Linked DNA regions of Stegostoma tigrinum. The main gene of each other region encodes a partner of the protein of the gene in region 2 in a complex. Links are inferred from orthologs where the notes say so. Each region holds a gene or a part of one and is shown on either strand. Other genes may lie near its edges.

Region 1 (8,440 bases), on a different chromosome or scaffold from region 2:
GTAAATGAACTGAGAGAGAGAAAAATAAATTTCCATTCGAGGTTGGCGAGCAGGTATAAGTCCAAGCTTCGAAGTCTGTACCTAAGGACGCTCTCATGAACGGATCTGGAGAAGATTTCTCCCTCGTTACCCAGTTGGGAGAAAGAAAGCCATTTAAAAATAAATGAAATTATACCTTCCACGTAATTCTGAAAGCTTATTTTGCTGAGCATAACGGCAATGCCACAACGCATTAACGAGGTCAACAAGGCAAAATACAAAGGGTCAGTAACAGTGTCTAGAAAGCGAGGCTCCCGGGGTCACTGAGCCCGCAGCTGTTTAAACATCAGTTAGCAGTTTGCTTTTGTTCACACAGTTTTGGTTTGCTATAGTGCAGTTGCCAGTTCTGAGATTTGCTTCTCTGAAATTGTCTATGCTGTTGTTCACATCTTCCTCGATCTCCATGTAATCGGACTTGCTGATGGTGGACGAGCTGCGGCTTCGTAAGTCACTGTCCGAGGCGATGTTCGGGCAGCTAACGTGCAGGTACTGAGCCTGCTCCTCTCCCTCCGTCTCCCGGTGATAGAAGTAGTTGAAGTTGGAGACGATGACGGGCACGGGCAGGGCGATGGTCAGGACGCCGGCGATGGCGCACAACGACCCCACGATCTTGCCGCCGATGGTGATGGGGTACATGTCCCCGTAGCCCACCGTGGTCATGGAGACCACCGCCCACCAGAAGGAATCCGGGATGCTGTTGAAGTGAGAGTCCGGGTCGTCCGCCTCGGCGAAGAACACGGCGCTGGAGAAGAGGATGACCCCGATGAAGAGGAAGAAGATGAGCAGGCCCAGCTCCCTCATGCTGGCCTTGAGGGTCTGGCCCAGGATCTGCAGGCCCTTGGAGTGGCGGGAGAGCTTGAAGATGCGGAAGACCCGCACCAGGCGGATGACCCTGAGGATGGCCAGGGACGTGGCCTGCTCGCCGCTCACATTACCCTCCTCCTCCTCGGCCAGCTCAGTGCCCAGCGTGATGAAGTACGGGATGATGGCCACAATGTCGATGAAGTTCATGATGTTCTTGAAGAACTCTGTCTTGCTGGGGCAGGCGAAGAAGCGGACCAGGAGCTCGAAGGAGAACCAGATGATGCACAGGGTCTCTACGATGAAGAAGGGGTCGTTGAGGATGTTGGATTTGTACGGGATGGTGGTGTTGCCCACTTGCATGGTCCTCTTTCTGTCGTCCTTGAGCTGGGGCAGAGTTTCCAGGCAGAAGATGACGATGGAGATGAGGATGACCATGACCGAGACAATGGCGATGCCCCGGGCAGGCCCGGAGCTCTCCGGATGCTCGAAGAGAAGCCAGACCTGTCGTTGGTACTCATTCTCGGGCAGGGGCCTCTCCTCCTCCCGAATGAAGCCCTCGTCCTCGCGGAACTTCTCCATCGCCTCCTCGCCCAGCTCGTAGAACTTGATCTCCTCGGAGAACATCTCGAGGGGTACATTGACCGGTCTCCGGAGGCGTCCCCCGGATTGGTAATAGTACAGGATGGCGTCGAAGCTGGGCCGGTTGCGGTCGAAGAAATACTCGTTCCGCAGGGGGTCGAAGTAGCGCATCCTCTTCTTGGGGTTGCCCAGCAGGGTGTTGGGGAACTGGGCCAGGGTCTTCAGCTGGGTCTCGAAGCGCAGGCCCGAGATATTGATGACCACCCGCTCGCAGCACTCATGGTCATCGTTGTCCGGAGGGTAGCTGTCCTGAGGGTGGCCGGGCAAAGCCGACGCTTCGTCCATGTTGTCTCCTGCCAGCACTGTCATTCTTGGCGGGAAAGGGGGCCTTTCAGGAGGGAGAGGGGTGAGGGAAGGGGGCCGATCGAGGGGCTTCCGAATCACTGGCTCTCAGTCTCCCCACCCCCGGGAGGACATTCGGAGGCTGAGTTGGTGGGGAGATCTTCAACCGGGGTTGGTGGGTGGGTGAGGGAGGGAGGAGGACTAGATGGAAGGTGGGATGGGGTTTGAAGGGCTCCGGGCCACTAAAGGACAACTCGGGGCTTTCGAGCCGACTCGAGCATCTCAGGGCTCGGCGTTTCCACACGGATCCAAACTAATCTCGGGCAACTCAGGCCAACTGCCGTGCCGCTGTCTGGCCCACGCCCACCTTTTTGTTTCGGGACCAAGGTGCTGCGGAACACAAAGGTTAGCATCAAACAACATAAAGCTCTATGCAAACGGGAGGGGTTGGGGCGGTTAACAAAAGCAGAATAAAAGTTCAGGGTTGAAACTTGATGGGCGGGGGGGGGGGGGGATGCTGTGTGTGTGTGTTTGTGTGGAGGGGGGGGGGTGGTGTTGATGAAAACAGCCCCTGTCCCCTCCCGACGGTGAGTGCGGCTCGTGCACTGCGTTGGGTCCTACATCATCCCAGGCACACACTCTGTGTACACCTAAAGCAGTTCTCGGCTAAAATCCAGCTGCGGTACTAGGATAAGGAGGACTGGGCACTACAACTACCACGAGGTTGGGGAGCGAGGGGAAATCTAGGAGCAAAGTGAAAGAAAAATCATAACAATAATCTACAAAAAAGAAACAGCCAGCCTTACCTGCTGAATGAAGGAGGACAGAATGAAGAGTGCAGGAATGCGGCCCGGCTCTCCGAGCGATGCAAAGCCCTTCCTCCTGCGTACTCCTGCCTCCTTAATATAGATATCGCTTTACAGCGTTGTGTGTATGAGATCTGCTGAAATATTAATAGCCTATATTATACTGTACTGACACCATTTACAAGTCATTTGTTCCTGACGACTGTTACATCGGACCGGCGGCTACGTAAAATATAACGGGCTGCTATTTTAAATACACCACCAGTTAAAGAGAGAGAAAAACACAAACTATGCACATGGACTTCATGACAGGTAGCGGGAAAGCAATCTTCTGGTACATCCTGGCGTCTTGCTCGAGGATCATGTGGTGCAGAGTAGAAGACTAAATGCATTAAAAGTCAAACGAGCTGGACATCCCTTAGCATTGCAGTATCATCAAAAATAAGAGAGGTGCTTCATGGAGTGTAGTAGGCAAGGAAACCGTTCTCCGGACAGCAACGTTAACAGCTGCAGCGCAAGCAGCTCCCACATTGCAGACAAAACAGCCGCTTCCTATTGTTTTTGTTTTTTTAATAAAAATAATAGAAGCTCTGTTAATTCTCAAATAACAAATCGAGACATTTTAGACGCAGTGCAGGCAGTCCCGGTAAGATCCTCATTGCACACGACGCCGTGCACACTCGCAAAAAAAAATCCGCATCATAAACATCAAAACTGCTGCATCATTTGGTTAGATTTTACGACAATGTTCCTTTGACTGCAGCACACTGTGGCAAACCTCCGAATACAATCACTGCAGTTTGCCAGTTCGGCCCCGCAGGTACAGCGTTACTGCTCCTGGAGAAACGAGGACCCCTAGACTGTACCAACATGTACATATATATAAACACCGCCGCACAAGAGCTCTCATCAATTGTAAACAGTTGCAGGCATACACTGTGCTTCAATACTTAACAGACCAATGCCGCACCCTTTAGTTTGCAAGGATAGAAAATCATCTGATCCCATCACTCATTATTTTAAAACTATAACAATTTTATGTCCTGGACATCATGTTGATAACTTGCACAGCGCACTGATCGTATTAAGTATTGATAACTCAAGAAATATTCATTTGATGCAGGATGTTACAATTAAACAAGGCACCCACTTCCCGTTTATCTTATGGTCCCACAATTTCACCCAAACTTTAAAAAACACTACAGCTTCGCGCTGACAAAGGTAAACAGCAGTTTGCCGCGTTTTGCTGGCCTCCCGTTTTAGGAAGCACAAAACGATTATCTGCATAAACCTCAAATGGTTTTGGAAATCGATCGAAGCTGAGAACATCCTGACAATTACCAGAGAAAGGATCGCCACTGCTCTCAAGATAGTTAATGTTCTGAGTTATGTAATGTGCCTCTTGCCAAGTCACGTTAGCAGAAGGCACTGTGCACGGTCCCGTTTTGTTCCGCGTCGGTATTCTCAACCTCGAGCAACACACATCACATCTGTTTAATTTGATTATTCGCCACATAGCACCATTTACCTGCAAATTTGTTCTCACCGCTGATAAAAGCTATGAACTGTGGAGAAACAAATGGGAAATAGTTGTTGTAACTCGGGATACGAATTTGATGGTCAGCCGTGGCGTGTTGTTGTGCAGTGAGTTTATATGGACATATTCTGCTAACTCCAAATATTCCCAACAGGGAGGTCAAAATTATACACTACCAGGGCCACATGCCCAAGGGGCTTTGGCCCAAACGTGGTGAGACTCAGGTTGTCAATCTTCCACATTGTCCTGGAGACCCCAGGTACTACAGAGAGAGGAAAGAAAATCACCGAACACTGCTGTCTATATTCCTGGAGAAACATCGTGGGGACATTGAAAGCGTATTTCCCTTTGAACATATTATCATAACATATCTATAGTGATCCAAAACATAGCTTTGCCAGTCCCAATATCATCTCTCCTTACCTTGCATAATCATTCTATCTGTATGTAATCTCTCCTGCCATTCATCAGAACTAGGAGCCGGAGTGGGTAATTCAGCCCAACAAGCCTTCTCTGTCATTCAATACAATCTTGATTGATATCAGCTCGGCATCATTTCCTCTTTCTTGCCTGCTCACCATAACTCTTTAACCCAATACTAAATAGTCATCTGTATGTTGCCTGCTTAATTTTACTCAATGTCCCAGCATCCACCACGCTTTTGGGTTACTGAGCTCCACAAATTCATGACCCTTTGAGGGAAATAATTTCTCCTCAACTCTTTTAAATCTGCTAGCCATTATCCTCAAACTATGAACTCTAATTGCCCCACATGAGGAAACATCTTTTCTAAATTTACTTTGTAAATCCCCTTTAGCATCTTATATACCTCAGTTCGATCTCCTCCCATGCTTCTAAACTCCAGAAACTGTAGGCCTAAAATGTTCAATCTCTCTTCACAAGACAAACGCCTTATGTGGGTAACTTTTTACTCTGAAATTATGCCTTCTGGTTCTAAACCCTCCTAACAAGGGGAAATAATTTCGCACATCTCTTCTGTCAAGCCTCCTAAGAATCTTACATGTTTCAATAAACTACAATGATTACAAGCTCAATTTACTCAACTTCTCAAAATTAAAAATCCCTCTATATCCAGAATCAACCTAGTGAAACTTTGCTGGATTGCCTCCAATGAATGGATGTCTTTCCTAAACAAGGGGATCAAAACTGTTCACAATGCTATATGTGATCTGACTGTACCTTGTATATGTTAACAAGACCTCCCTAATTTATACCCCATTCCATTTCAAATAAAGGTCAACAGCCCATTTGTCTTGCTATAAACCACTAAATTTGGACATCAGCTTTTCATGCACAAAGACCCCTAAATTCCCTTGTACTGATCTTTCTGCAGTCTTGTTCCATTTAAATAAAAGCTTTTCTCATTTTCCCACCAAAATGCATAACCTCCCATTCTTCCATGGTATATTCCATCTGCCATATTTTGTCCACTCATATAACGTCTCTGTAGACTGTGTCATCCTCAATATTTGCCTTCCCACCTATTTCTGTGTCATCCACAAACTTAATGATGATATATTCACTTCCTGCTTCCAAGTTGTTTACATGTACTGCAAATATTTGTAGCCCCAGTACTGATCTCAGTGACTTTCCACTACTTACAGATTACCATCCTGAAAATGTTATCTGTATCTCAATACTGTCTTCTATTTGTTAGCCAAGCATCTATTCATGGTAATGCACTCACCCCAAAAGTCATGATCTCTTAACTTATTAGGTAACTTTAAATGTGGTACATTTTTCAAATCCTTTTCAAAATCACAACACATTACATCCAGTAGTTCACCTTTATTCAGCTGCTTGTAACCGCTCAAAGAACTGTAATAAATTTGTCAGGTATGATATCCCCTTCACAAAGCTGTGTTGACTCTGCTTGATTATATTGTGTAAAAGTACTCCATTTTGAAATATATCATTTGCAATAAATTAACATTTTCCAGCCAAAGATATTAAGCTAACAAGCCTATAATTACCTGTTTTCTGCCTCTTTCCATTTTTGATTAACGGTGTTACATTGTCATTTTCCAATCCTCTTGTCCTTTTCCAGAATCTAAGTATTTTTGGAATTTTACTCGCAATGAATCTACCCGCTGTGTACCACTTACTTTAAAATCTTAGGATATAACTCTAAGATCCAGAGGACTTATTAGCCTTTCATACCATTAGTTTCCCTTGTACTGTTCTCTATTGATAGTTATTGTGTTTATTTATCCTACCCACATTGTCTCTTGAGTGTTTAGGATTTATGGAATATTACTAATGTTTTCTACATCATAATATTTATTTTGTGATTGGCGTTCAACCACCTTTCCTGCTAAACTCCTTTTGCAATCTACTCCAACCATTTCTGCCCTCATGCCTATGTATTTACCCATATTAAAGTTTAGCACAGTTGCTTCTGACCCATGTTGCTCATTCTCCAACTGAATTCAAAATTGCACCATGTTATTGTCACTGTCCATAGGGGATCTGTTACTCAGATCATTTACTAAACCTACCTCAATGCATATCACCACATCCAAAATAGGCTGATCCCTGGTTGGAATGACAACATATTGTCTGAGGAAACTGTCCTGAATACACTCTTATGAATTCTTCCTTGTGGCTACCTTTGCCAATTTGATTTTACCAACCTATATGAAAATTAAAGTCAGCCATGATTTATACTGCCCTTTTTTAAATTGGCCCCATTATTTCCTGATTTATTCTCTGGCTGACAGAACAGCTACTTTAGGGGATCTACAGCCTATTTCAACCAGTTATGTATGATTATATGTGATTGACAACTTGTGAGCATTGTCTATCTTGAAGCAGTTAAGACAAATAGTTTTTATATCCTTCGTTCTAGTTTTACATTCAGTAAATTTGACCAAGGCATGTTAAAATAATCAACTGGTCAAAAGTTCTGTTATATCTTTTCATAATCAAATAAATAAAAGAAAGCTGTCATCTTGTATTTTCCAGAATGTAAACAGTCTGTTGAGACCAGCAACTTGTAAACCTTGACCATACATGGTCCAGAGAAGCCAGATAAAATAGACAGATCTAAACAGCCTGTAACCAATCGATCAGAGCAAAACTCTGGAGTTTTAATACATCCAATTGTGAATGGTAGCAGGCAATTAAGAACATAATGGGAGGTGTCTCCATGAACATCTCAATCATCAATGATTGCAGATCTCAGCATGCTCATGCAAAAGTCAAGGTTACGATGCTCACAACCAAGTTCACCTAGAAATTGAGTGAATGATTAGCCTCCACCTAAGGTCCCCACCATCACAGATGGAGGCCTATGGCCAATTTGATTCACCTGTCTGACCTATTATAAATGGACAAATTGTTTGTGCTTGTATGTGAGAGGCATGTTTTTATGGAGCTCTTCTAGAGTTTTCTGATATGGGGTATGATAAACCAAACTGGTTGTCATGACCTCCAAGTTGATAAAGCTCATTAAAAATTCAGCTATGATAATCCTCCAAATAAAGGGACAGCAAAAACCACCTAGGTAAAGACTGTACTGGTGTTTTCTAAAGGGGAGAATGAAACATCAAACTGATCAACATGATTTCCTACATTCATTGGGCCAATGAAAATTTAACTAACATAAACTCCCAAATAAGAAGAATTTCCTTTGTATTAATTTCTGAGTATTACATGAGTCACTATTGTACACTACTGCATTTGAAACAGTGCCAAGTACAAGAATGATTTTGCTGAGGAAAAATCGGACAATTTTGAAATTCTTGAAGTGCAAAAAGCTGACAAAGGAGAGCATCATTTGTTTTTCTCAATTGAAGTCTCGTTTCAGTCCACATTTGAAGGAAATGCAGCACAGTTGAAGTCTTCTTCCAGATAGCCATCAAGAAAGTTTAAGAAGGTGGAGGATTATCTGTGATAACCTGCAACTGTACAGCATTGCTGCTGCTGCAAAAATCTGATCTTTCTGTTCTAGGTGTGAGTAGCCTATACTTCACTGTGGCCATCATGAGACCAGCTTTCAGTGGAGCATCCTTGGATACTGATCCCAGGAAATGATCATCCCACAATGTGATCCCTGACACCCTTCTAATCAGCTATGCTAAGCTCCCTTCAATATAAAAATCAACATCATAACTTTGGTCCAATGGGATAGTGTTAAGAAACAGTTGAGCACAGTTCATATAACTCATTATGCAATAGATCAGAAATAGTGGAGAACCAAGGACATACTGTAATGATTTAGACGAAGAAAGATATTAATATTTAAAAACCAATGGAGAAATTAATCGGATTAAAATCTGCCAAATCTCTTGATCTAGATGGCTTAAATGCC
Region 2 (7,545 bases):
TACCAAACATGTGCTGGAATTCCTAATTTATTACATCCGTGGGTTCTCCTTTATCCTCAAAGAATTCTAATAAATTTGCCAGGCATGATTTTCTCTTCATTGAGCTGTGCTAATGCTGCTTGGTTACATTATGTATTTTTGTGGTATGCTATTGCATCCTTCAAAATATACGGTAATGTTTTCCCAATAACAAATATTAAATCAATTGGCCTTTTTTTGTTTTCATCCCTTTGTTGCAATAACAGATTTAAAATCCTTTGGCACTTTTCCAGGATGTAAAGGTTCTTGGGAAAATCACTACTAGTACAACCTCTATCTCTGAAGCTATTTTGTTCAATATCCTAGAATGCACCACATCAAGGAGACACTTCTTTAGCCCCATTAGTTTTCCCCTACTTATCTTTATGGATAGTTATTCAATTTATTTCTTCTCCCTTTTTGGACCCCCTGGTTTCTCCACTATTATTTCCCCTGCTTTATTTTCTGAGGGGCCTATTTTCACCTTGGGTTCTCTTTCTTTTTATGTATTTAAAGAAGCTGTTTCTGTGAGTCTTGATATAACTTGCAAGTTTATCTTTAAGTTTGTTTTCTCTCTCTTCATTTTTGGTTTGTCTTTGTTGGTTTTTAAAATCTCCCAAACCCCTGGCTTACCACTAGTCTTTTTCCCCATTGTACTTTTTTTTTCATTTTGATGTCATTCTTCACTTGTCCTGTTAATCACAGTTGGTTTATTCCCAAACTAGAATCTTCCTTTTTTCACTACGATACATCTTTGTTGTAAGCCAGGGTCCATTTTCTTAAAGTCTACTATCATTTCTGACCTACCTTTGCTGCTAAACTCCTTTCAAAGTCCACTCCAGCTAGCTCTGCCCTCATTCCTTTGAAATTAGCTTTATTTCATTTTAGCACAATTGTTTCCAACCCAAGTCACTCACTCTCAAACTGAATACTAAATTCTATCATGTTATGGTTGTTATTTTCTAAGGGATCTTTTATTATGACATCATTTATGAATCTTGCCTCCTTATACCAGATCCAAAATGGCCTGAGCCCGAGCTGGATCCACACGTTCTAGGAAACTGTCTTGTATGTATCCTATGAATTCTTCCTTTAGGCTACTTCTACCAATCTGACTTTCCTAATCTACATGAAGATTAAAATCTCCGATGATTGACAACGTGCCTTTTTCCTTATACATGCCTTTGTTATTTTCTGATTTATTTTCTGTCCTACCATGTAACTCCTGTTAGGAGACCTGGAGTCTAAGACTCATTCCTACCAGTGTTGTCCTGTCCTTGTTATTTCTTATCTCTACTCATGGATTTTATATATTCCAGTCCAGAATTTTTCTTTTCTTATTGTATTTATTCCACCCAAAATAACAAAGTTACCCCATCATCCTGTCCATCCTTACGGATAGTAGAAACTGCCGATGCTGGAGTCTGAGATAACAACGTGTGGAGCTGGAGGAACACAGCAGGCCAGGCAGCATCAGAAGAGCAGGAAAGCTGACGTTTCGGGTGTTTGATGCTGCCTGGCCTGCTGTGTTCTTCCAGCTCCACGCCTTGTTACTGCTGTCCTTCCTGCCTGCTCTTTCAACAAGTCGGGCACTCCTGAATAGTTAGTTGCAGCTTTGATCTCCTTGTAACAGTATGTTCCTAATGACTATAAAATTATATCTATTAACCTCTATGCTGTTCGTTAATTTACATTGTTTTTTTGTTCCAACTTCTATGTAGATTCAAAGTAAAGAGCTTTTTTGCTTAGTTTTTTTTAAACTATTCTTCCACCAACCCCCTCCCACACTCCTACCTTTTTAGCCTATTTACTGCTGTTTTTGTATTGTTGTACACACTTACTCTTCCTGCCCCACTTTGGATATTATGCTGTGTACCTTTAAGAGGAAATTAATCTGTCCTATTTTTCTTGGAGGTGGGGATGTAAATCTGGTGACGAGGTTTGTGCTCTATGGAATGCATAGTAAATAGTTTTGGGCTTTTTTTGGCTAGACAAAAGAAACATGAGTGGGTAGAATTAGGCTCACACAGACCCAGGATTTTTGTTTGCTTTCAGTTGTTGAAGTTGGGGTATTTGGAGTTGAAGCTGCTCAGTATCGTTCTTTTTCTACTGCTGCAAAATATTGAGTTCTGTCTCTGCTGCTAGATTCATTCATTTTATCTCCTGCACTAGAGAAAGCATGTGAGTGATTTTGCTTTTGCTAGGAGTGTGTAAATGTTTTGCTGGTATAGTGGAACAGTTGATGAGTAGAAGTTAAATAATATATTATTATGTCAAATATTTTGGTAGAGTTTAAGTTATGCCAATTCTTTCTTTGTCTGTATTTTAACTGTGGTGTAAGAATAAAGTGTCTTTTGCTTAAAGTCTAGTAGTTTGATCATTTGAAGCACATCTGCAGTGCAGCATCTTTTACTTCCCTTTAAGTAAGATTAATGTTGGGATCTGGGCTATCTCAGTGATATGTTTTTAAGGGGTTGGTCTGGTCCATAACAATAACCACCCTGTAAAGTTGCCATATCCTTTTTGATTTGTAACCCAAAGCTGTTTCCCCTTTCTCATATGCTTTCCTTACCCCCTTCTAATTGTTTCAGAGCCCTCACTCTAGACCTAGTTATTCAATCACCAGGATACTGGTCCCAGCATGGCTTAAGTGAAGCCTGTCCCAGTGGAACAGTTCTACCCCAGTGGACTTCAAGTAGAGAGATTTCATTTGGGAACACACGGATGTCAATAATGAAGGAAGGAAGAAAGGAATAGACTTGAGAAATGCAAATAGAATAAATAAACAGTTGTTCAAATGGGGACATGTATATCCACCTGCTGCATATTTTTGACTCAAATGTCACTAGATAACCAGTCCATCTAAGTTGTAACTGTCTCATCATGGTGTACATGCCAAGCATCCACAACTTGGATGATTACATGGATGCTTGTTTTTTTTTTGTCCTACCATCTTATCTTCAGAAGCTTCCAAAGGCTGTTTAAATGAAAATAGTTGACTTTCTTGGTGTGATGCTGGTACACAGATCAAATCTGTCATGGTTGGAGCTGAGTGAGCCAGGACCATTATTCTGTCAACTTGCAGTTTGGTAGGCAGACTTTTTGTTGAAATCTATACTTGCTTAAATAATTCTTACATGTGTCTTTTTGTCATTATAGGCAGCTTGGGTAACGTGAAATTGTTAAATTACATGAATTTATTCATTGCTGAAAGGTTCTGATCATGGAGTGAAATCTTGGGCTTGAATAGTGCTTTCTTGAAGAGTCTGGTGTATTACTTCAATTTGACTTTGTCCTAGCTTTAAGACCAGAGTAGACAAACCCTTAAGTTGCTAAGGTTAGTAAACCTGATCACTACCCTTGCCTGGTTTGGCTGAGCCATTGAATGCTTTACTAGTTATAACTGTGGTTGCATTGTGAACAATTATTTTGATCCTCAGGTGAGAACTAGGTGAAGACAAGTATAGGGTGAATCACCAAGAGGTAAGAGCCAATTCCTTTGAAGCAATTTGGGGCATTTTATTCCATTAAAGGTGCTATGTAAGTATCAGTTCCCTTGCTTTTGGTAGCGCTGGTATCAAAAGTATTACACAGTCACCAATTTGGATGCATATTGGTCCATTCATTTCTAGTAGGTTAGTGATCTTTCTATTTGTTGCATTACAATTAGGATTAGTACAAAGTTCAATTTTTAAGCTTCATTTAAAAATATCTTTTTATTGAAATTTCAGAACTTAATTTTATTTATTCCAATAATTATTTAGAAGAAAATTTTCAGACATTGGGGTGTCAATAGTGCTGCAGTAATGCAACTATCTCAATCCAGGAAATATAAACAGCTGTGGTGTGGTACATGTTTAAAAGGAGTTCATGCTTTAATTTTTTTAGTTCGAGCAGCTATCATATACAGCATAATTGTACAATAAACTTATAATTAGTAAAGAAGCAGTAAGGCATCTGTACATCAGAATATTCTAAAATAACCTCTGCTGAAATTATGTTTCTCGGAGATTGAACCAATTGCTCCATTTATCTTGGGGTTTAACACACTTTTAAACCAATCATTATTGTTCAGTTACGAAAATATATGCACTCTGCAAAAATTGATGAAAAGCCTGCACAGGTTCCTAGGTTCATTTAAGGTAGTGGTGGCTTTATCCCTTTTAAGCAGTAAACAATACTTCATCTGCTACAGTAAGCTTTTAGTGGAAGAGAATGCCCTAAATAATTTAACCACTATTTGCCAAGATGCAAGTACACTGATAAGAGCAAATGGGCTGCATCAGAAAACCACTTAGTCTATAGCAGGGGGAATGGATTTGGTACTTACTAATTGCTTTTGACAATAGAACGCCCCCTCCAAATATCAAAGTGCTGTCGTAGAGTCTTATAGATCTTAAAAGCCATTCCTGGTTTTTAAACAAGCAGCTACTCTGGCAGTTGGGTGAGTTTTGCTTTTAGTTTAGAAGAATAATATGTACAAACAGTAGTGATGCTGGAGTGTATCTTCCTGAATGGGTATGCATATAAACTTTTAGTTTTATTAATTTTTAAATTTAGCTTTTATCTGATGCCTTGGAGCATTTTTAAAAAATGGTAAACTTAAAACCAACAGATATGAAGGGAAGGGATTTATATAGTCTTTGTGTATAAACATGAAATGTAAATTTGGGGTATGAGATTGTCTATCGAAGTTTAAAATTTTTGAAATAAAAGCAGCTGCTGGAAAATATTGCTTTTTTGATAGGCATGATTTAGTATTGCATATTTTAATGAAATGGATTTTTATTTTAACAACTTAATTTTAATACTCTTTAAAATTATCTCTAGTAATATTAATAGGGAAAGCTGCACAATGGAATTTTAATTCTAGCTGCAATATGAACCTCCTCCCCCTTTGGCACAACTTTGGGGTCTTTCCTTTCTAGTTGTGCCTTTTTCAAGGAGAAGCATTATAGTAAGCAGCAGCAAAAGTTCAACTTAACCAAAGCGAAGAGTCATTCCCAGAGGTTTGGTAAAAATTGTTTTGCTGTATGCCTGCTATGAAACATTTTGCTTTGCTTTACTGTTTATTTCTTATCTTGCAACAGCAAAAAATTACACACCAATAGATTTTTATTTTGGATTGGAAAACGACAACATGCAAGAAATACTCAGTAATTTATATTTGTGTGTGGGGCTGTACCAAAGATGGCTGCAAATAATGACCATTCATTTTCAATACCAATTTCAAATCAAGAATAAAGCTTCATGGTACTGTTTTATGTACTGATTTCCTGATATCAGTAATCCCTGAAAATAGGACAAAAATGTAGAATTAAATTGATAAATTGAATGGACTTTGTCAATATTTTTAATCTTACAAAAGCAAATGTCGACATTTGGAATGGAGATGCCAGTTTTTACTGTAGTTACGCAATTATTGTATTAAGGTATATCCCAATTTAATGGGATTTGCCTATTTTAGATAGCTGCCTGCTGCTTTGCATCCAACTACAGTTTATTATATGGGGGAGAAAAAAGGGTACTTAGCCCTGTTAAATTTACACGACAGAGATTTGATTGCCCACCAGTGAATCATTATTAGCTTATAACTAAATTTTATGCTAAGCACAGAAGGAAACTGAGGCATTGTTACAAATAGAGTTCAAGGACTTTTGTAGATCACATTTATATTTGTTCCAGTTTTCAGTGCAACTGTCTGTTATTCTTTAACACAGATTAAGTTTTTGTGTCTTAAGAGATTTTTAACTTTGAAGCTATGATTCTTCGATATGTTTCTCAAGCTTAAAAGTAGATTATAGAGCTATTACATTGTTTTCTTTTCTCTCCGGTCCACAGTGTTTTCCCTGTCTATCCTTACTTCTCCAGATTCTGGTATTGCTCCTTTTGCCCTGTAATCATCATACTTGCTCAGACCTGCTATTCCACTATTGCATGCATCCAGAAACTTCCTCGCCTTTTATAATATAATATAATAAAAGTCATCTCTTCTTCCATCTTGCCTGAAAAGGCAGGGCATTTTGATTTGAATTGATGTTGAATTTACATCTGAACTTATAAATTACGCTTGTATTTAATCATCTCCTTGTTTTAATGTGTGTACTTCATGCTATAACAAAACATTTATTTTTCTGTACTTTAATTTTATTTGTATTTGTCATTTAGGTTCTATCCCTTTTTTCCAGCTTTGTTTAATTTGCATGTTTCCTTCATATGCTTTCCAGTATGTCATTAAGTGACAATTTGGCGCATGAGCCTTGCCACCTTCTGCAGCCCAGTTTCTGATTACAGCCTGGTAATGTCTTATCTAAGACCCATATGTTTTGTTGCTACTTCAGTTCAAACTAACATTGAATGTTAAAATATTTAATGGAAACTCGAACAAATCTGAATGCACCATCTGAATGTGTAATAAATAAGTATATGCGTTACAGTTTTTAAAAAAGAAAATATTTAATTCAGACCATGTCCAGGGCACACCAAAATGCCACCTTCAAAGATCAGTATTAGAAATATGGCATCTCTTTTTCAAATATTCTTCAAAAATATGTTGTTCAATACTACAAAAAATGTTATGAATAACCTAACAGTTAATTTTGGTTGTGGTTTTGGCATTTCTTACTTTCAGGCAAAATGCAAATATTAATTTATGACCATGATTACAAATTGTTAAATACACTAACCTCGTATAGCATTGTCTTTGAAAGCCAGTACAAGAGAAGTGAGGCTTTCTTGTATATTTATTAATACTGTGCATATAAACAATACATACATTTTAAAAAGTGTGAAACTTAACTGGTTATGGTGATGGATTGCTAAACCACAGTTCAAGAAAATTCTGTGTTTGATCCCATTTATGCTGGTTGTTTTTCAGCTTGTGTAATTATAAAGACCATATAATTGACCTCAGGAGAAAATTATTTGTTGTACCTGTTTCCGTTGTCCAGTGACTTACTTTCTAGTGATTCCCACTTTTGAGAAAAGGATTGAGTTTTACCGTGATGCCGCTCAATTTGAACTGCTTGCCTAATTCTACTGGAAAAGCTTAACCATGCTGGGTGGTTGAGCAAAGAAATGAAAAGCACCATGAGATTGTTACCCAGCAAAAGTTGGTATCTTTAAAGAAAATGATGGGAGAGTGAAGAACCTGCCTCAGAGGCTGGAAAGGAGTTTTGTTATGTTGTTCTCCGTGGGACTTGCCTAAATAAAAATTGTAAATATTTGAACCAATTTAAAAACTGGTATCTTAGAAGTACCTTTTTTGTAACGAGGCATAATATTTCTATGTTTTGATTATAAAAATGTTTCATTATAAATGCTAAAATATTTAATTAATTGACAAATGATCTTTTTTGTTAGCAGTGGTGCAAGGTTAAGTGAAGGCTTCCCCTTTCACAATTTATGGGCATGATCTTTCACATCGCGTTCAGTGGTGTATGCATGCCACCTGATTTCACTAAAGACAGTAATCTCAACTATAGGAAATCCAACAAATTAACATCATGAGGCCAGCATCAGTTTACA
Region 3 (8,194 bases), on a different chromosome or scaffold from region 2:
AGGTTCCCCACGGCAGACTCATTCATAAAGTCAGGAGGTATGGGATACAGGGTGATTTGGCTGTCTGGATTCAGAATTGGTTGGCAGACAGGAGGCAGAGAGTGGTTGTAGATGGTAACTATTCTGCCTGGAGGTCAATGTTGAGTGGTGTCCCGCAGGGCTCTGTTCTTGGGCCTCTGCTCTTTGTAGTTTTTATAAATGACTTGGATGAGGAGGTTGAGGGGTGGGTTAGTATGTTTGCTGATGACACAAAGGTTGGAGGTGCCGTTGATAGTATCGAGGGCTATTGCAGGCTTCAGCGAGACATTGACAGAATGCAGAGCTGGGTTGAGAAATGGCAGATGGAGTTCAACCTGGATAAATGCAAAGTGATGCATTTTGGAAGGTCGAACTTAAATGCTGAATATAGGATTAAAGGCAGGATTCTCAGCAGTGTGGAGGAACAGCGGGATCTTGGTGTTCAAGTGCATAGCTCCGTCAAAGTTGCCACCCTGGTGAATAAGGTTGTTAAGAAAGCATATGGTGTTTTGGCTTTCATTAACAGGGGGATTGAGTTTAAGAGCTGGGAGGTTATGCTGCAGCTCTACAAAACCCTGGTGAGACCACACTTGGAATATTGTATCCAGTTCTGGTCGCCCTATTATAGGAAAGATGTGGAGGCTTTGGAGAGGGTGCAAAGGAGGTTTACCAGGATGCTGCCTGGACTGGAGGGCTTGTCTTACGAGGAGAGGTTGACTGAGCTCGGTCTTTTCTCTCTGGAGAGAAGAAGGAAGAGAGGTGACCTGATCGAGGTGTACAAGGTAATGAGAGGCATGGATAGAGTCGATAGACAGACTTTTCCCCAGGGCAGGATTGACTGCCACGAGGGGTCATAGTTTTAAGGTGTTAGGAGGAAGGTATGGAGGAGATGTCAGAGGGAGGTTCTTCACTCAGAGAGTTGTGAGCACATGGAATAGTTTACCAGTGGTAGTCGTGGAAGCGGAGTCATTATTGACATTTAAGCGACTGCTGGACATGCACATGGACAGCAGTGAATTGAGGGGAATGTAGGTTAGGTTATTTTATTTTTGGATTAGGAATATTCCATGACACAACATCGTGGGCCGAAGTGCCTGTGCTGTGCTGTACTTTTCTATGTTCTATGTTCAAACAACATCCTGGTGAATCCCCCCTCCACCCCCTAGAGTGCAATCACATCTTTCCTATAGTAAAAAGGTGCTAGAGCTACACAGATTGCTCCAACTGTGCCCTAACCAAAATCCTATACTTCTCCAATATGATTATCCTAGGCGAGTATCCTAGGTGCCTTCTTAACTAACCCATTATCCTGTTCTGCCATCTTCAGGGATTTGTAGACACACTCCAAGATCACACTGTTCTTTTCAGCTTCCTAGGGTCCTGCATTTATTGAGTACTCTCTTGTGTTACTGCTTCCAAAGTGCATCACCTCACACTTACCAGAGTTAAATTCCATCTGTCCCTTCTGCTTGTCCGTGGTCTATATTCCTTCATTCCTTGCTTATTCATGTGCTTTTCTGAAAGACCCTTAAATGTCCCAATCGTAAGGCCCCCACCATCACCCGTGGCAGCACTTTCTGGATTCCTACCATTCTGTGTGTTTAAAAAAAAATTGCCCCTTACAACTCCTTTGAACTTTCCCCCTCTTACCTTATAACCTTCCGCTTCTAACTTTCTTACCTTAAATGCATGCCCTCTCGTATTAAAACTTTTCAACTCTGGGGAAAAAAGATTCTGACCGTCAATACTATCTACGCATTTCATAATTTTACCAACTTCTCTCAGGTCTCCCCTCAGTCTCAGCTACTCCAGAGAAAACAACACTAATTTGTCCAGCCTCTCCTTAGAGATCATACCCTCTAATTCAGGTAGCATTCTCTTATGCACCCTCTCCAAAGCCTCCACTTTCTTCCTGTAACATGGTGATCAGAACTGAAAGCAATATTTGAAGTGTGGCCTAACCAAAGTTTTATAAAACTGCAACAGGAGCTCCTGACTCTTGTACTCAAAGGCAAGCAAGCCATATGTCTTCTTTACCACCTTATCCATTTGTGTGACCATTTTCAAGGAGATTTGGATTAGGACCTCAAGATCCCTATGTTCATCAATGCAACCATTATTTTTCTTTAAAATTTGATCTCCCAAAGTGCAATATCTCACCAGCCTGGATTAAACTCCATCTGCCATTTCACAGCCCATATCTGCAACTGATCCATATCCAGCTGTACCCTTTGACAACCTTTTACACCATCCACAATTTCCCCAATGTCTGTGTCATCTGCAAACCTACTAACACATCCATTTACATTTTCATCCAAATCATTTACATTAATCATAAACAGCAGAGGTCCCAGTATGGATTCCTATGGAACACCACTAGTCACAGACCTCCAGCCAGAAAAATCCCCTTCCACCACTACCTTCTGTTTACTATGGGCAAGCCAATTGCAAATCTGTGCAGACAAGTTATAATCTTCTGGATGGGACTACCATGAGGAAACATCTTGTATCTTTCACAAATCAAAGAAAGCAAGCATGGCTGAAGCAAAGTACTGGCCAGCAAATGAATCATAATCATCATTTTTAACAATACAACTTGGGAACAACGACTGTCTTCCAATCTTTCCACTCTATCCATAGCTTATTTAATCCTGTCTGCCTATGTGTGTAAATGGCAGGTTTATAAGGGATCAGAGATTTAATAAGTAGTATCGTATGCCGATGGTGTATAACTGTTTACCTGTAGCTACAGTCTAATTGCTTGCATAAATAGTGATTCTTTTCTAGTACAGAAACCAATCTTTATAATCAAGCTGGGTCTGAGTGTCAGGTAAATTGGGGAACTTTGCAGATTTTACAAAAACTTTTGTAACAATTCTATTAATAGGGAGGCATGATTTCCAGTGTGGTACCCCAGTTAGGTGTAAAGCCAGGTAAAGTTCCACAGTCTTACCGAGCTGCTCTCTCTTCAGAGACATGACTGGTTATAGTTTAACTTGAGAGTCACCGTGCCCCAGACCAGGCGAGAGGTTGAGAAGAAAAGTGCTTAATGGTACCCTCAGCGGCGATTGAATCCACACTATTGCCATAATTCTGCATTTCAAACCAGCTGTCCGGGAGACTAGACAACAGGATGGAAAGAGACAGAATGGCGATGTCATTACCCAGACAGCCGTGCGGCGGCGAACTACCCGCTTTGCAGAAGAGCCGTGCGCAAGCGCGGTGCTGGAGCATGCGCAGTGATAAGAACAGTGAGGCAGTAGGCACCGTGTGGAAACATTTCATCTTCAGGGACTGCTCAGCGGTGGAGCTTTTCCTTCATGGGGAAACTGGCTGAGGTGAACGGCTGCCGTTTGGTTTGGGGCCGTCGAGGACAATAAATAAATACAACCTTTGGGTGAAGTCACTGGGTCTTGAGATCTCCAAGAGGGTCGTGAGAAGCCAGCTGGAAGTTACAAAGAGACAGAAGAAAACAACTGCAAAATCAGCAGTCGCTAGGTTTTCCCCCTTCACGGTCCGCTTGGTGAATGCCATTTTTAACCTGCCCCCAAGAGCAGGCAAAGCCAGTGACGAGGGGATGGGATGCGAAGCCACGAGCTGATGGGCGTGGTCATAAACTAGGGTTTCCTTCCAGGGGCTGGGGGGGCGGAGCCGCGGGTTGTGGGAGCAACGCATCGTGGTAGGGGCGGGGCCGAGGGCGGCTGGGCAGGTCCGTGGCCTGGGGCTACCCTTTTTGGGATGGGGGCGGGGCCTCATGCTGGATATCCATCCTGGAGTTGGGGGCGGACTTCTTCACAGGCTATCACTCTCTGGGTGAAGAAAGTTTACCTCAGTTCTGTCCTGAATGCTTTACCCTGTATCCTATTTCATCAGGAACATCCTTCCTGCACCTACCCTATCCAATACTGTTCAAATTTTCAAGGTTTCTCACTGACCACCTCTCTGATATTAACATTAGAATGAGTAGGAGGACTTTGTTGCCCTTTGTTCAGAATGAAGACATTTTGCCTATAAAACTTTAATTGCTTTTCAGACCCAGTGTCTTATTCATGAGGCAGAGCAGCAGCGCAGAAGGAAAGAAAAGGAAGCAGAACCTGATCTCTGCATCCCACGGGATGTCCTGCTCCATGTGCCCAAAAGCTCTGTTCAGTGACGTGAAGACCCAGGGCAGAAACAACCCAGTGTAGATGTCGTCCTTGAATCAAGAGACTGCTGACCTCAATGCAATGTGCAGCAGAGAGTAGGCATGGTCATTCCTGGGCCAGGAGATGGGAATGATATGAATTTCTGTCCTATTCTGTCAGTGATAGTTATAAACTCTGCTGCCAAGGGTTTTTTTTTAAGATCACCTACAGCGTGGAAACAGGCCCTTTGGCCCAACAAGTCCACACTGCTCCTTGATGCATCCCTCCCAGACCCATCCTCCTATAACCCACACACCCCTGAACACTTTGGGCAATTTAGCATGGCCAATCCACCTAACCTGCACATCTTTGGACTGTGGGAGGAAACCGGAGCACCCGGAGGAACCCATGCAGACACAGGGAGAATGTGCAGACTCCACACAGACTGTTGCCCGAGGCTGGAATCGAACCCGGGTCCCTGGTGCTGTGAGGCTGCAGTGCTAACCACTGAGCCACCGTGCCTCCCAAAGTTGGAAAGGATGGATATACGCACAACAAACTCAAACTCAAACTGAGAGAAATGTTTGTCTCTTCTGAATGCTCACTGGCTCACATTGACTGAATTTGTAAACTTCTTTTACAGGATGTTTAAGGATGCTGCACAGAGATGTCACCCGCTCGCTGCAAATTTCCTAAACAGTAAGAGTTTGCTGTGAATGTAGTGCTTCTGCTATCATTCCATTTACAAGTTCCTAGAGGAGATTTTCAAATTGAGAAATGAAATTGTTGCAGAGGTGAGTATTTTTGACCATTTGCTTTTAGTTTTGTGTAATTTTATCAGTGAGGTTCTGTGGCTCTCAAGTTTGTGTGACTCCCTTATGTGGACCTGAATCCATATCCATTCATTGTTCTGTTTAACCTTTCTCCTCCCTGATCACCTCTCTGCAGTTATCTAACTTTCATGATGTTTTGTGTTTTACTCTTACTTCTATTGACTGTTTCTACGTGTGATTTCTACTGCTGCCCATTCATGACATAGCCTCTACTGCTTTTTGGGGAGAGATATGAAAGGCCTTGTGCCTGGAGGAGGTCACAGAGATACAGATAATCACAACCTAGAAGGAAAGCAGACAGAAATGAGGTTTTAAAATTTTGGTGAAGCAAAGTTCTGTGGATGCTGGAGATCTGAAACAGAGCTCTGAAGAAGGATCACTTGAGACATTAACTCTGTTTTCTCTCCATGATCCTGCCAGACCTGTTGAGTTTTCCCAGCAGTTTTAGATTTTGGTTTAAAATGTTGGCCCATTTTAACCTGGAGCCTTTGCTGATTAGTGAACATGGATTGGTGATAGGTGAACAAGACTTGGTACGAGTTAGCACATTGGGAGCAGAGTCTTTGAGGATCTCAAGATTAGTGGGAGGTTGATTGTGGAAGCCTAGCCAGGTGGGTTTTAGAATAGTTAAGTCTTGAGAGGTAACAAAGGAATGGATGAGAGTTTTTAGGAGCAGATGAGCTGAGACTAGGGTGGACTTGGATGATGCTACTGAGTGAGAAATAGACTTTCTTGGTGATGATATATGTTTGGAAGCTCATCTTGGGGTGAAAATTTCACCATAGCTGTGGAATAGTGTGGTTCAACCTTGGATAGTTGACTGTGAGAGGGATGGAGTCATTGTGAGGAAGTGGAGTTTGTTGCAGGGACTGAAGACAATGGCTTCAGTCTTCCTAGTCTTCCTAGTCTTCAGTCCTCCTAATATTTAAATAGAGGAAACTTCTGCTGATCCAGCCCTCAATGTCACACAAGTCAGGACAGTGTGTAACTTGGAAAAGTCTGTGTCCATGTAAATGTGTAATACTGGTCCTTCTAGGTAATGGAGTTTCTGGGTTTGTGAGATTCTGTCAATGTTCTGGTTGATTTGTAGACATATTAAAATAATCAACTTCGCCCCTGCATTTCATTTTCTGTCTCTTTGTGTCTACCTTATCTGCCTTCCCAGAATGGCCAGTGACTTGTAAATGTCCAAACACATAGCAGGTTGCCTTCCCTGAAGGACATTTTTCTTTTATTTCTTCATTTTGTGGAATGTAGGCATCGCTGGTTGGCTGGAATTTATTGCCCGTACCAGTTGCTGTTGAGAAGGTGGTGCCAGCTGCCTTCTTGAATCGCTGTAGTCCACCTGCTGTGGGTTGTCCCACAGTGTCATTAGGGAGTGAATTCCAGGATTTTGACTCAGCAACAGTGAAGGAATGCTGATGGTATTATCACTAGACCGTTAATCCAGAGACCCAGATAATGTTCCGATGACCCAGGTTTGAATACCATGGTGGAATTTGAATTAAATTTTTAAAAATCTAGATTTAACAATCTACGGATGACCATGAAATCATTGCTGATTGTTGGAAATACCCATCTGGTACTTCAGGGAAGAAAATCTGCTGTCCACACCTGGTCGGGCCTACATGTGATGCCAGACCCATGGCAATGTGGTTGATTCTCAATTGCTCTCTGAAATGGCCTAGCAAGCTATTCAGTTGTACACATTTCTAAAAAGTCAGACTGATCACCTGGCATCGACCTTGGCACTGGAAAAAAGGACAGCAGAAACAGCTCTGTTGATCCTGAAAGTCCTCCTCAGTAACATCTGGGATCTAGAGCCAAACCTGGGAGTGTTGTCTCACAGTCCAGTCAAGCAACAGTCTGACATTGTCTTCGAGGTATGATTCCACGAGTATGACAATGTCCCAGACAGCACCATCGCTATCCCTGGATATGTTCTGTCTCACTAGCAGGACATACCCAGTAAAAATGGTGGGACAGTGGTATTCAGTTAGGAGGGTGTTGCTCTGGGAATCTTCACCATGGACTCTGGACCCCATGAAACCTCATGGCTTCAGATTAGACATGGGCAAAGAAAACCTCCGCTGATTACCATGTACTATCCTTCCTCAACTGATGAATCAGTACTCCTCCATGCTGAACAACACTTAGAGGCAGCACTGAGGATGACAAGGGCACAAAATGTACTCTGTGTGAGGTATTTCAATGTCCACCACCAAGAGTGGCTCGACAGCAGTAATACTGATTGAGCTGGTCCTAAAAGACATAGCTACTAGACTGGGTCTATGGCAGTTGGTGAGTAAAACAGAGAGGAAAACATATTTGACCTCATCCTTACCAATCTGCCAGCTGCACATGCATCTGTCCATGACAGTATCTGTAAGATACGTGACCTCCGCACACTCCTTGTGAAAGTAAATTTCCACCTTCACATTGAGAACATCCTCCATCGTGTTGTGTGACACTATCACCATCCTAAATGGGACAGACTACGATCAGATCTAGCAACTCAAGACAGGGCATCCTTGAGGCGCTGTGGACCATCAAAGGCAGCAGAACTGTACTCCAGTACAGCCTGTAACCTCATGGCCTGGCATATCCCCAGCTCAACCATTACCATTAAGCCAGGGGATTGATCCTGGTTCAATGGAGAATGCAGGAAGACATGCCAGGAGCAGCACCAGGCATACCTGAAGATGAATTGTCAACCCAGTGAAGCCACCAAACAGGACTGCTTGTGATACAGCAAAAGCAGCAAGTGATGGACAGAGCTAAGCAATCTGACAACCTAGAGATCAGATCTAATCTCTGCAGGTCTGCCACATCCAGTCATGAATGGTGGTGAATGATGAAGCAACTTACTGGCGGAGGGGGCTCCACAAATATTTTTGAGAAGATTTGTAGTTCAGGTTGTGAATGAGGCTGCAGACTTGCTCACTGAGTCAGTGTGTTTAGTTGCAGACGTTTCATCACCCTGCTAGGTAACATCGTTCATGCGCCTCCGGTGAAGCGTCAGTGTTCTGTCCCACTTGTTATTTATATTCCTTGGTTTGCTGGGGTGGTTGGTATTACTTCCGGTTCTGTTTTCCAGTGGTTTGTGTATCGGATCCAGTTCAGTGTGTTTGTTGATGGAGTTCCGATTGGAATGCCAGGCCTCCAGGAATTCCCTGGCACAACTCTGGCTTGTGCTATTATGGATGTGTTGTCTCAGTC

The links.
Region 1: the proteins of kcnab2a (region 2) and potassium voltage-gated channel subfamily A member 1 are in contact, whole or in part, in a crystal structure (PDB 1EXB), measured with the Rattus norvegicus proteins. The link is inferred for Stegostoma tigrinum from reciprocal best matches to the Homo sapiens genes KCNAB2 and KCNA1. Residues at the interface, in NP_059000.1 of Rattus norvegicus: Met196, Tyr199, Ser200, Arg203, Glu231, Lys235, Ile236; in NP_775118.1 of Rattus norvegicus: Glu37, Met70, Phe73, Asp74, Pro75, Leu76, Asn78, Tyr80.
Region 3: the proteins of kcnab2a (region 2) and potassium voltage-gated channel subfamily A member 2-like are in contact, whole or in part, in a crystal structure (PDB 5WIE), measured with the Rattus norvegicus proteins. The link is inferred for Stegostoma tigrinum from reciprocal best matches to the Homo sapiens genes KCNAB2 and KCNA2. Residues at the interface, in NP_059000.1 of Rattus norvegicus: Met193, Met196, Tyr199, Ser200, Arg203, Glu231, His234, Lys235, Ile236; in NP_037102.1 of Rattus norvegicus: Asp28, Glu33, Pro62, Met66, Phe69, Asp70, Pro71, Leu72, Arg73, Asn74, Tyr76.

The regions. Positions count from the first base shown.
Region 1 is NC_081378.1:39,908,008-39,916,447, reverse strand, and holds the start of potassium voltage-gated channel subfamily A member 1, read right to left. Parts: upstream 3,421-8,440; 5' UTR 2,571-3,420; intron 2,155-2,570; 5' UTR 1,792-2,154; coding exon 319-1,791; 3' UTR 1-318. UniProt on the Homo sapiens protein: Voltage-gated potassium channel that mediates transmembrane potassium transport in excitable membranes, primarily in the brain and the central nervous system, but also in the kidney.
Region 2 is NC_081381.1:25,935,864-25,943,408, reverse strand, and holds the start of kcnab2a (voltage-gated potassium channel subunit beta-2), read left to right. Parts: upstream 1-4,366; 5' UTR 4,367-4,462; intron 4,463-7,545.
Region 3 is NC_081374.1:48,650,349-48,658,542, forward strand, and holds the start of potassium voltage-gated channel subfamily A member 2-like, read right to left. Parts: upstream 3,087-8,194; 5' UTR 2,972-3,086; intron 1-2,971. UniProt on the Homo sapiens protein: Voltage-gated potassium channel that mediates transmembrane potassium transport in excitable membranes, primarily in the brain and the central nervous system, but also in the cardiovascular system.